Macaca mulatta: one gene and its partner. The protein of the gene in region 1 interacts with the protein of each later gene in a pairwise test. Links are inferred from orthologs where the notes say so. Each region holds a gene or a part of one and is shown on either strand. Other genes may lie near its edges.

Region 1 (3,500 bases):
CTTCCTCACTCCCTGGCAGCTCTGCTGAGCAGCCCTGGGTAGGGGAGCAGACCACAGACCCCACGTGGGTCTGTCAGAACCCAAAGTGTTCAGCCGGCTGGACCCTTCCTAGAGCGTCCCATCTACTCATTTCACACTGGAGCAGTCCCACCTGCACCTCACCTGAGGCATTTGGGGCCTCCACGGACATGCAGGGAAAGTCACCCACATCGTGCCTCTCACGCGTGTCCTGGCAGCCCTGGCAGGGTCAGGCTGACTCCAGGTTCCCCTCCCCCCTTGCTGACACCCCTCAGGCTTCTTGCCTGAGGATCTGCAGGAAATTGGTACTGAGGCCAGGCGCGGTGGCTCAAGCCTGTAATCCCAGCACTTTGGGAGGCCGAGGCGGGCGGATCACAAGGTCAGGAGATCGAGACCATCCTGGCTAACACGGTGAAACCCCGTCTCTACTAAAAAATACAAAAAAACTAGCCGGGCGAGGTGGCGGGCGCCTGTAGTCCCAGCTACTCGGGAGGCTGAGGCAGGAGAATGGCGTGAACCCGGGAGGCAGAGGCTGCAGTGAGCTGAGATCCGGCCACTGCACTCCAGCCTGGGTGACAGAGCAAGAGTCCGTCTCAAAAAAAAAAAAAAAAAAAAAAAAAGAAATTGGTACTGAGATCCACCTATACCTGGAGGCCACGACCCTGCCCCGGTGGAGGCACCCCAGGAGGAAGCAGGTGTGACCCGGCCTCCAAGGCTGGCTGATTGAGCCTCTGTGCCTCTCCCCTCCACAGGACAAAATCCCCATGGCCCAGCGCCGCCGCTTCACGCGGGTAGAGATGGCCCGTGTGCTCATGGAGCGGAACCAGTACAAGGAGCGGCTGATGGAGCTGCAGGAGGCTGTGCGGTGGACCGAGATGATCAGGTGGGAGTTGCGGCCACCCCAGGAAGGGCTGTGGGGTCATCCCTGATGGCAGAACTGCGGCTCCCTCCTCTGCACCTCCCTGTCTTCTGGGGGGACTGAAGGGTGCTGGGTGCTTCCTGGTGGGAGCCCAGAGAGTACCAGGCAAGGGAGGCGTGAGGGTGCTAGCAGGCTGCTCCCTATGCCCTCCCCCGCAGAGCATCCCGAGAGCACCCATCCGTCCAGGAGAAGAAGAAGTCCACCATCTGGCAGTTGTAAGCTGGGGGCCCCAGGGGGTGTGGGCAGCAGCTGCAGGGGAAGGGGCAGGGAAGTTCCCTGGTCCTCTGCCCACCCCTCACCTCCCTGTGCCTCCGGCAGCTTCAGCCGCCTCTTCAGCTCCTCCTCCAGCCCCCCTCCGGCCAAGCGCCCCTACCCCTCGGTGAATATCCACTACAAGTCGCCTACCACGGCCGGCTTCAGCCAGCGCCGCAGCCATGCCATGTGCCCGATCTCGGCGGGCAGCCGGCCCCTGGAATTCTTCCCTGATGAGTGAGTGTCCCATGGTCCCCACTAGTGGCCTGCAGTGGGGTTGGGGAGGCCCTGTCCTGAGGCCCCTCCCCTCCAGGACCTGAAGCGGGACTTTGAGGGCAGCCTCCACCTTGCTGGCCACATGCCAGGGGTCGTGACCTCTCCCTGCACACTGCCTGCCCCTCCCTGCAGCGGGGAGCTGGGCTGCTTTGGCTCCGAAGTGTTTGGTTCAGGATGTCCCTTGGCAGAGGCTGTGCACACCAACAGTCAGGGGGCTGCGCTGGGCTCCACGGTGGCCTCTGCAGCAAGGAGCCACTTCAGACGTATGTGCAGTGGCCGCGCCTGTGCCCTGGCGGCACTCCAGGTCCTGGTCTGTGGAGCCCTCCGTGACTATGGCCAAAGAGCAGCCTCTGGGTTGAGCAGGTGCCAGCTGTGGCCTGCAAGCCCAGGGGCATACCCGGTGCTGGGAAGGCCACCCTCCCTAGCTAGGCACTCGGTGGCCGGGAAAAGGCGAGGATGGGCCTCCCTGCCGTGACCTCCCCCAGGGCAAGCCTGGGGCACTGTGGGTGCCTGCTGCTCGGCTGCCGCTCACCCTGGACAGAGACATCACCCATCATTCTTCCACTCAGCGACTGCACGTCCTCCGCCCGTCGAGAGCAGAAGCGCGAGCAGTACCGCCAGGTGCGTGAGCACGTGCGTAACGACGACGGCCGACTTCAGGCCTGCGGCTGGAGCCTGCCCGCCAAGTACAAGCAGGTGCGGGCGGGGCGCTTCGGGGACAGGGCGGGGCCCCGCGGGGGCGGGGCGTGAGTAAGGGGCGGAGCGTGAGTAAGGGGCGGGGGGGAGGGCGGGGCAGTGCCGGGTGTGGGAGGGGACGACGGGCGGGGAGGGGACGACGGGCGGGGAGGGGCGGGGCCTGGCAGGTCCTAGTAAGCCCCCTGGGCAGGGGTCTGGAGGGTCGGAGGAGGAGCCCTGCGGCTCCCACGCCCCCACCTGCCTCCAGTCTTGAGGTGGCTCTGCCGCAAGAAGCTGGCAGCTCGGCCTAAGGTTTCTGGAGGGATGGGTAGGAGCCATGGCTGGTGCCCATAGCGCCTCCCTGCTCCCTGCAGCTGAGTCCCAACGGGGGCCAGGAGGACACGCGGATGAAGAACGTGCCGGTGCCCGTGTACTGCCGCCCTCTGGTGGAGAAGGACCCCACCATGAAGGTGAGCGGGCGAGGACCCCGTTCAGGCCGGCTGGGCAGGCGGGAGGCTGGGGAGCGCCGGTGACACCCGACCCCGGCCCTGCCCTTGCAGCTGTGGTGTGCTGCGGGCGTCAACCTGAGCGGATGGAAGCCCAATGAGGACGACGGTGGGAATGGAGTCAAGCCAGCGCCAGGCCGCGACCCCCTGACCTGCGACCGCGAAGGAGACGGTGAGCCCAAGAGCGCCCACGGGTCTCCCGAGAAGAAGAAGGTGAGTATGGCGGAGGCCACCGGGCACCCTCCCTGGCTGAGTCTCAGGACAGCTCAGCTGCAGAGCATGCTGGGAGTGAGACACAGGACAGCACCCGGAAGCAGGGCGGCACAGGGGCTCCTGGACTGCGGGAAGCAGTGTCTTCCCTCCCCAGGACTGAGCCGCCTTCTGGGTTTTCAGTAGGAATCTTGGCCCACGTGGCTGTGAATGGGGCTGCAGCTGGGGCGGCCCTCCCCTCCCCTCTCCGAGTGCCATCCAGCAGTGTCCGTCCCCTGGCTGGGAATGGGGCTGGGGTGGGCCCTCTTCCCCTCCCCCTCCCCTCCTCTCCTCCCCCTCCCCTCCTCTCCCTTTCCCTCTCCCCGACCCCCCAAGTGGCCTGGAGTGGCAGAGCTTGCTTCCAAGTGGTCGGAGGCTTAGTTTTATGGCCCGCTTGGGCCTCTTGGAGCTCAGCGGCTTCCTCTGTGGAGACGAAACCATGTATGCAAGCGCTTTAGAGTGCAGTCCTGAGTCCGCATTGCTCTGGCCCCGGGAAAGGACAGCCATGTCCTCTCAAGCTACAGTTAAGGCTGGATCCTGACAGATTCTGGGAGTCCCATGGCCCTGTGCTCCTGCCGGGTAGCCTCAAGCTCGGGCTCTGACCT
Region 2 (4,137 bases), on another chromosome or scaffold:
CTACAGGCGCCCGCCACCACGCCCGGCTAGTTTTTTGTATTTTTAGTAGAGACGGGGTTTCACCATGTTAGCCAGGATAGTCTCGATCTCCTGACCTCGTGATCCACCCGCCTCGGCCTCCCAAAGTGCTGGGATTACAGGCTTGAGCCACCGCGCCCGGCCAGCCCACCTTTGTCTTTATAAATGAGATAAAAGTAACCAGACCTCCCTGGGAAAACCGGGATGCAGTTGCTTCTCTGGTGACTGCGGGGCATAACTGCAGGGTTCACACAGGGCTGCTGGTGCTGGGTGGTAACATCGGAAAGGAACAGCAGTTCACAAGATGGGGTTCGGGGACTGGCCCAGGAACCCCTCCAGGTTAAACGATGCCTCCGGGCCCCGCATTTGGGACGTCTGCAGGCACTGGGAGGGCTTATCCCAAGCCGCTGGCAGCAGCGAGTGGAGCCTCGCCCACTGAATCAGCATGCCCTCCCGGCTGGCTGCTGAGTCAGGCCTGCGGAGCCGGCGAAGCCGCAGGACTTGACCCAGGCCCGCTCCGTTGCCCTTCAGGCCGGGCTGGAGGTCGAGGCCCTGCAGCCAGGGAGATGCGCCGGTGGCTGCGTGGGGTCAGAGAGTGGATGTCTCCCACCCTCACAGCCTACACCCCGGCCCTTCCCCTTTGCCCGTCTGAGGCGCAGTTTGTGTCGAGGGGGAGCGCCTGGAAAGTCTCCTCGTACAGATACGAGGGTCCAAAAGCCCCGAGGAGAGGGAGGCGCAGGGTTAGGGATCAGGGTCTCGACCAAAGGCTGTCGGTTTTCCTGGAGAAGGGAGAAAGGCCTGGCCGGGATCCTGTGATTCCGGGGGCTCCCAAAGGCTTCCTAATGGGGTTTTGGGGGGACCGAAATGAGCGCACGAAGCTCGCGGGCCTCCGAGTGGGGCGGGGCGGGAGCCCAGTGGTGGCGGCTGCGGCCAGGCCTGCACCTTCCCCGGCCGCATTTCGGTAGTGCCCACAGCCCGGCTGGAGGGGAAGGTGCCGAAGCGCTCGGTCATCGCGGCTGTGAGGTCGGAGAGGCCAGGGCCTGGCCGCCCACCCCGCGAGCCGCGCCCTGCCCCAAGCGCCCCGCCCCCGTCCGTGTTCCAGCCGGGAGGCCCGCGGCGTCCTGCACCGTCACCCTGTTCCCTGTGACCGCCCTCCTGATACCCAAACAGCTTCCTCGCCCCTCCAGTCCCCAGCTCGCCGAGCGCTTGCTGAGAGCCACCCAGCCTCAGTTTCCCCAGCCCCGGGCGGCGCGAGAGGCGATGACGTCATGCCGGCGCGCGGCATTGTGGGGCGGGGCGAGGCGGGGCGCCGCGGGAGCAACACTGAGACGCCATTTTCGGCGGCGGGAGAGGCGCAGGCGGCCGAGCGGGACTGGCTGGGTCGGCTCCGCTGCCGCTGCGAGGAGGAGCCGCGGGGCTGTGCTCGGCGGCCAAGGGGACAGCGCGCGGGCGGCTGAGGATGCTACGGGGCGGCGGCGCCCCTCGCTCGTGACTGCTGCGCCGCGCCTCACACAGCCGAGGCGGGCTCGGCGCGCGGTCGCTGCTCCGCGCGCGCGCCCGGCGGCGCTCCTGGTGCTGACAGCGCGAGACAGCGCGGCCCTCAGGAGCTGGACGGTGAGTCCCCGGCGTGCGCCCCGGACCGCGGCCCCGGCCCCCTCCTCATCCTCCGCCCCGGCCCTGTCTCGCTCCTTTTCGGACCTGCCCCGGGCGCAACTCCGTCTGCATCCAGGTCCCTGTCCCGGTTTGGGTCCCAGACCCTGTCGGTTCCCACCCCGGTACCCGCCCCAGTTCACCGCCCCGGCCGGTCCGCGACCCCTTGCAGGTTCAGGTCGGGTTCCTGTCCCCGGCCCCTTTCCCAGCCCCAGCTCCCGGCGCCGTGCGTCCTCCCCATCCGCGTCCCACTGCAGGTTCCGGTCCTCGACCCTGCCCAGGGCCCCGCCCTGGTCCCGCATCCGCGGCTCGGCCCAGCTGCGGGCGGCGGCGGCCTTTCCCGGGGACAGCTGTGGACCCCGGGAGCCCGCGACAGGGGAGGTGGCCGCCCCCGGGATCGCGGCGGGCGGGGAGGCCGGAGGCCCGGCGGGGCTGGCTTTGTCCGATTCCTCCTCTTCCTTCCACCCCCGCCTCTCCCGGCACCGCCCTGAGCGGACGCGCCTGTCATCCTCGCGGGCGGCGGGGGGCCGGGTCCCTCCCGAGAGCCGACTCCGCTTCGCCTCTTTGGCGACCCGTTTTTTTCGGTAACCAGATGTGAAACGTTTCAGGCGACCCTGTTCACCTAAGCTGGCGTTGCTCCAACTAAAGTTGAAGCAGCCCCCGTCCTGGAATGCTTTTTCGATGTAAAATTGGGTGCACCCTTTTCCCTAGGAAAATTAAAATAAAGCGTTAAAAAAGTGAAATTAATGCGTGATGGAGTGGATGGTTTTATACTTAATATTTGTAGGTCGTTTCTAGGTATATTTGTATTGGAATTGTTGCTGCCTGTTACTTTTTATTATTTCAATGCATTAAGAATTTACATATTAAGCATTTATAAAGGAATACTTACAAAAATGATGCTTCTAAAAAATGTGAGAACAAAAAATTTGAGATATACTATTTCAGGTGTTCTGTAAAAGGGCAGTTAGAGCTTTGATTCTTTGCATTAGTTAAATTCCAAGGCCTTTTTTTTTTGGTATGGCATGACTAAGCCATTGATCAGAATCAGCTCGGAATACATTGCACTAGTTTAGTGAAAAACGCATTAGGAAACTGGAACGACCTCCTTAAGTTATATTACAGCCATGGCCTTGCTTCTTTCAGGTATTGCCAACAAGCCTGTTATGGTGAGAAATTTGACCTATTGCTCTGTTTCCTAAATATTTGTAGGAATACAATGATACCAAGTATGAAGTGTATTTCAACTTGTATGGAATTCTGTGTGGGAGGGTAGGCACTCTAAAGAGCCAGTGTCTCTCCAAGTCATCAAAGAATGCAACATCATGTTGCGGTTGAGCCTGGCAGCCCTGTCTGGCACTGAGTGCTGTGGAGGACCCAGGTGGTAACCTCTAACCCTACTGCAGCCTTGCGCACCTCACCTTGCCTAGCATTGTCTTAGAAAAGCATCCAGACGTGCACAGGAGTCTGTGTACTGGACAGCGTTTATCTCCAGCAAAGGGGAAGGGAATGACACTGGGGAGAGGCACACAGTGTCTTAAATATTTCATAACAAATAACTGCACTCATTTAAATTTTATACTTTTTTTTTTTTTTTTTTTTGAGATGGAGTCTTGCTCTGTTGCCCAGGCTGGAGTGCAGTGGTGCGATCTCTGCTCATGGCAAGCTCCGCCTCCCGGGTTCACGCCATTCTCCTGCCTCAGCCTCCCCAGTAGCTGGGACTCCAGGCGCCCGCCACCACGCCCAGCTAATTTTTTGTGTTTTTAGTAGAGACGGTGTTTCACCGTGTTAGCTAGGATGTTCTCGATCTCCTGACTTCATGATTTGCCCACCTTGACCTCCCAAAGGGCTGGGATTAACAGGCGTGAGCCACTGCGCCTGGCCCAAATTTATACATTTTTAAAATTTATACATTCTTAAGCATGTTTCTCAGTGTTGGAAAAAAGTCAATGTGTAACTCTGTATAGGGCCATAAACTATTTTAAAACATACTTGTATAAAAAGAAACCTAGAATAGAAAAATCAAAAGTTGAGTGAAATGTAGGATTAGTATCGCCTGAAAATGTTCTTCGTAGATAAGTGGAATGTTAGAAACCAGTATTTTATTTTTATTTATTTATTTGTTTAGAGATGAGTCTTGCTCTGTCGCTTAGACTGGAGTTCAGTGGTATGATCTCGGCTCCCTGCAACCTCTGCTTCCCAGGTTCAAGAAGTTCTCCTGCCTCAGCCTCCCTAGTAGCTGAGATTACAGGCGCCCACTACTACACCAGGCTAATTTTTTGTATTTTTAGTAGAGACGGGGTTTCACCACGTTGGCCAGGCTGGTCTCCAACTCCTAACCTCAGGTGATCCACCCGCCTCAGCCTCCCAAAATGCTAGGATTACAGGTGTGAGCCATTGCACCTGGGCCGAAACCAGTATTTTATGTAGCAAAGAAATGATCAGTAATATATTCAAACGAGAGTAATA

The links. The genes of interacting proteins can lie anywhere in the genome.
Region 2: the proteins of MAPK8IP3 (region 1) and KLC1 interact in binary tests that used the Homo sapiens proteins (3 or more experiments, as listed by UniProt). The link is inferred for Macaca mulatta from reciprocal best matches to the Homo sapiens genes MAPK8IP3 and KLC1.

What each region holds. Positions count from the first base shown.
Region 1 is NC_133425.1:2,986,162-2,989,661, forward strand, and holds part of MAPK8IP3 (C-Jun-amino-terminal kinase-interacting protein 3), read left to right. Parts: intron 1-770; coding exon 771-901; intron 902-1,095; coding exon 1,096-1,152; intron 1,153-1,255; coding exon 1,256-1,426; intron 1,427-2,034; coding exon 2,035-2,161; intron 2,162-2,514; coding exon 2,515-2,610; intron 2,611-2,700; coding exon 2,701-2,859; intron 2,860-3,500.
Region 2 is NC_133412.1:177,048,710-177,052,846, forward strand, and holds the start of KLC1 (kinesin light chain 1), read left to right. Parts: upstream 1-1,337; 5' UTR 1,338-1,632; intron 1,633-4,137. UniProt on the Homo sapiens protein: Kinesin is a microtubule-associated force-producing protein that may play a role in organelle transport. The light chain may function in coupling of cargo to the heavy chain or in the modulation of its ATPase activity.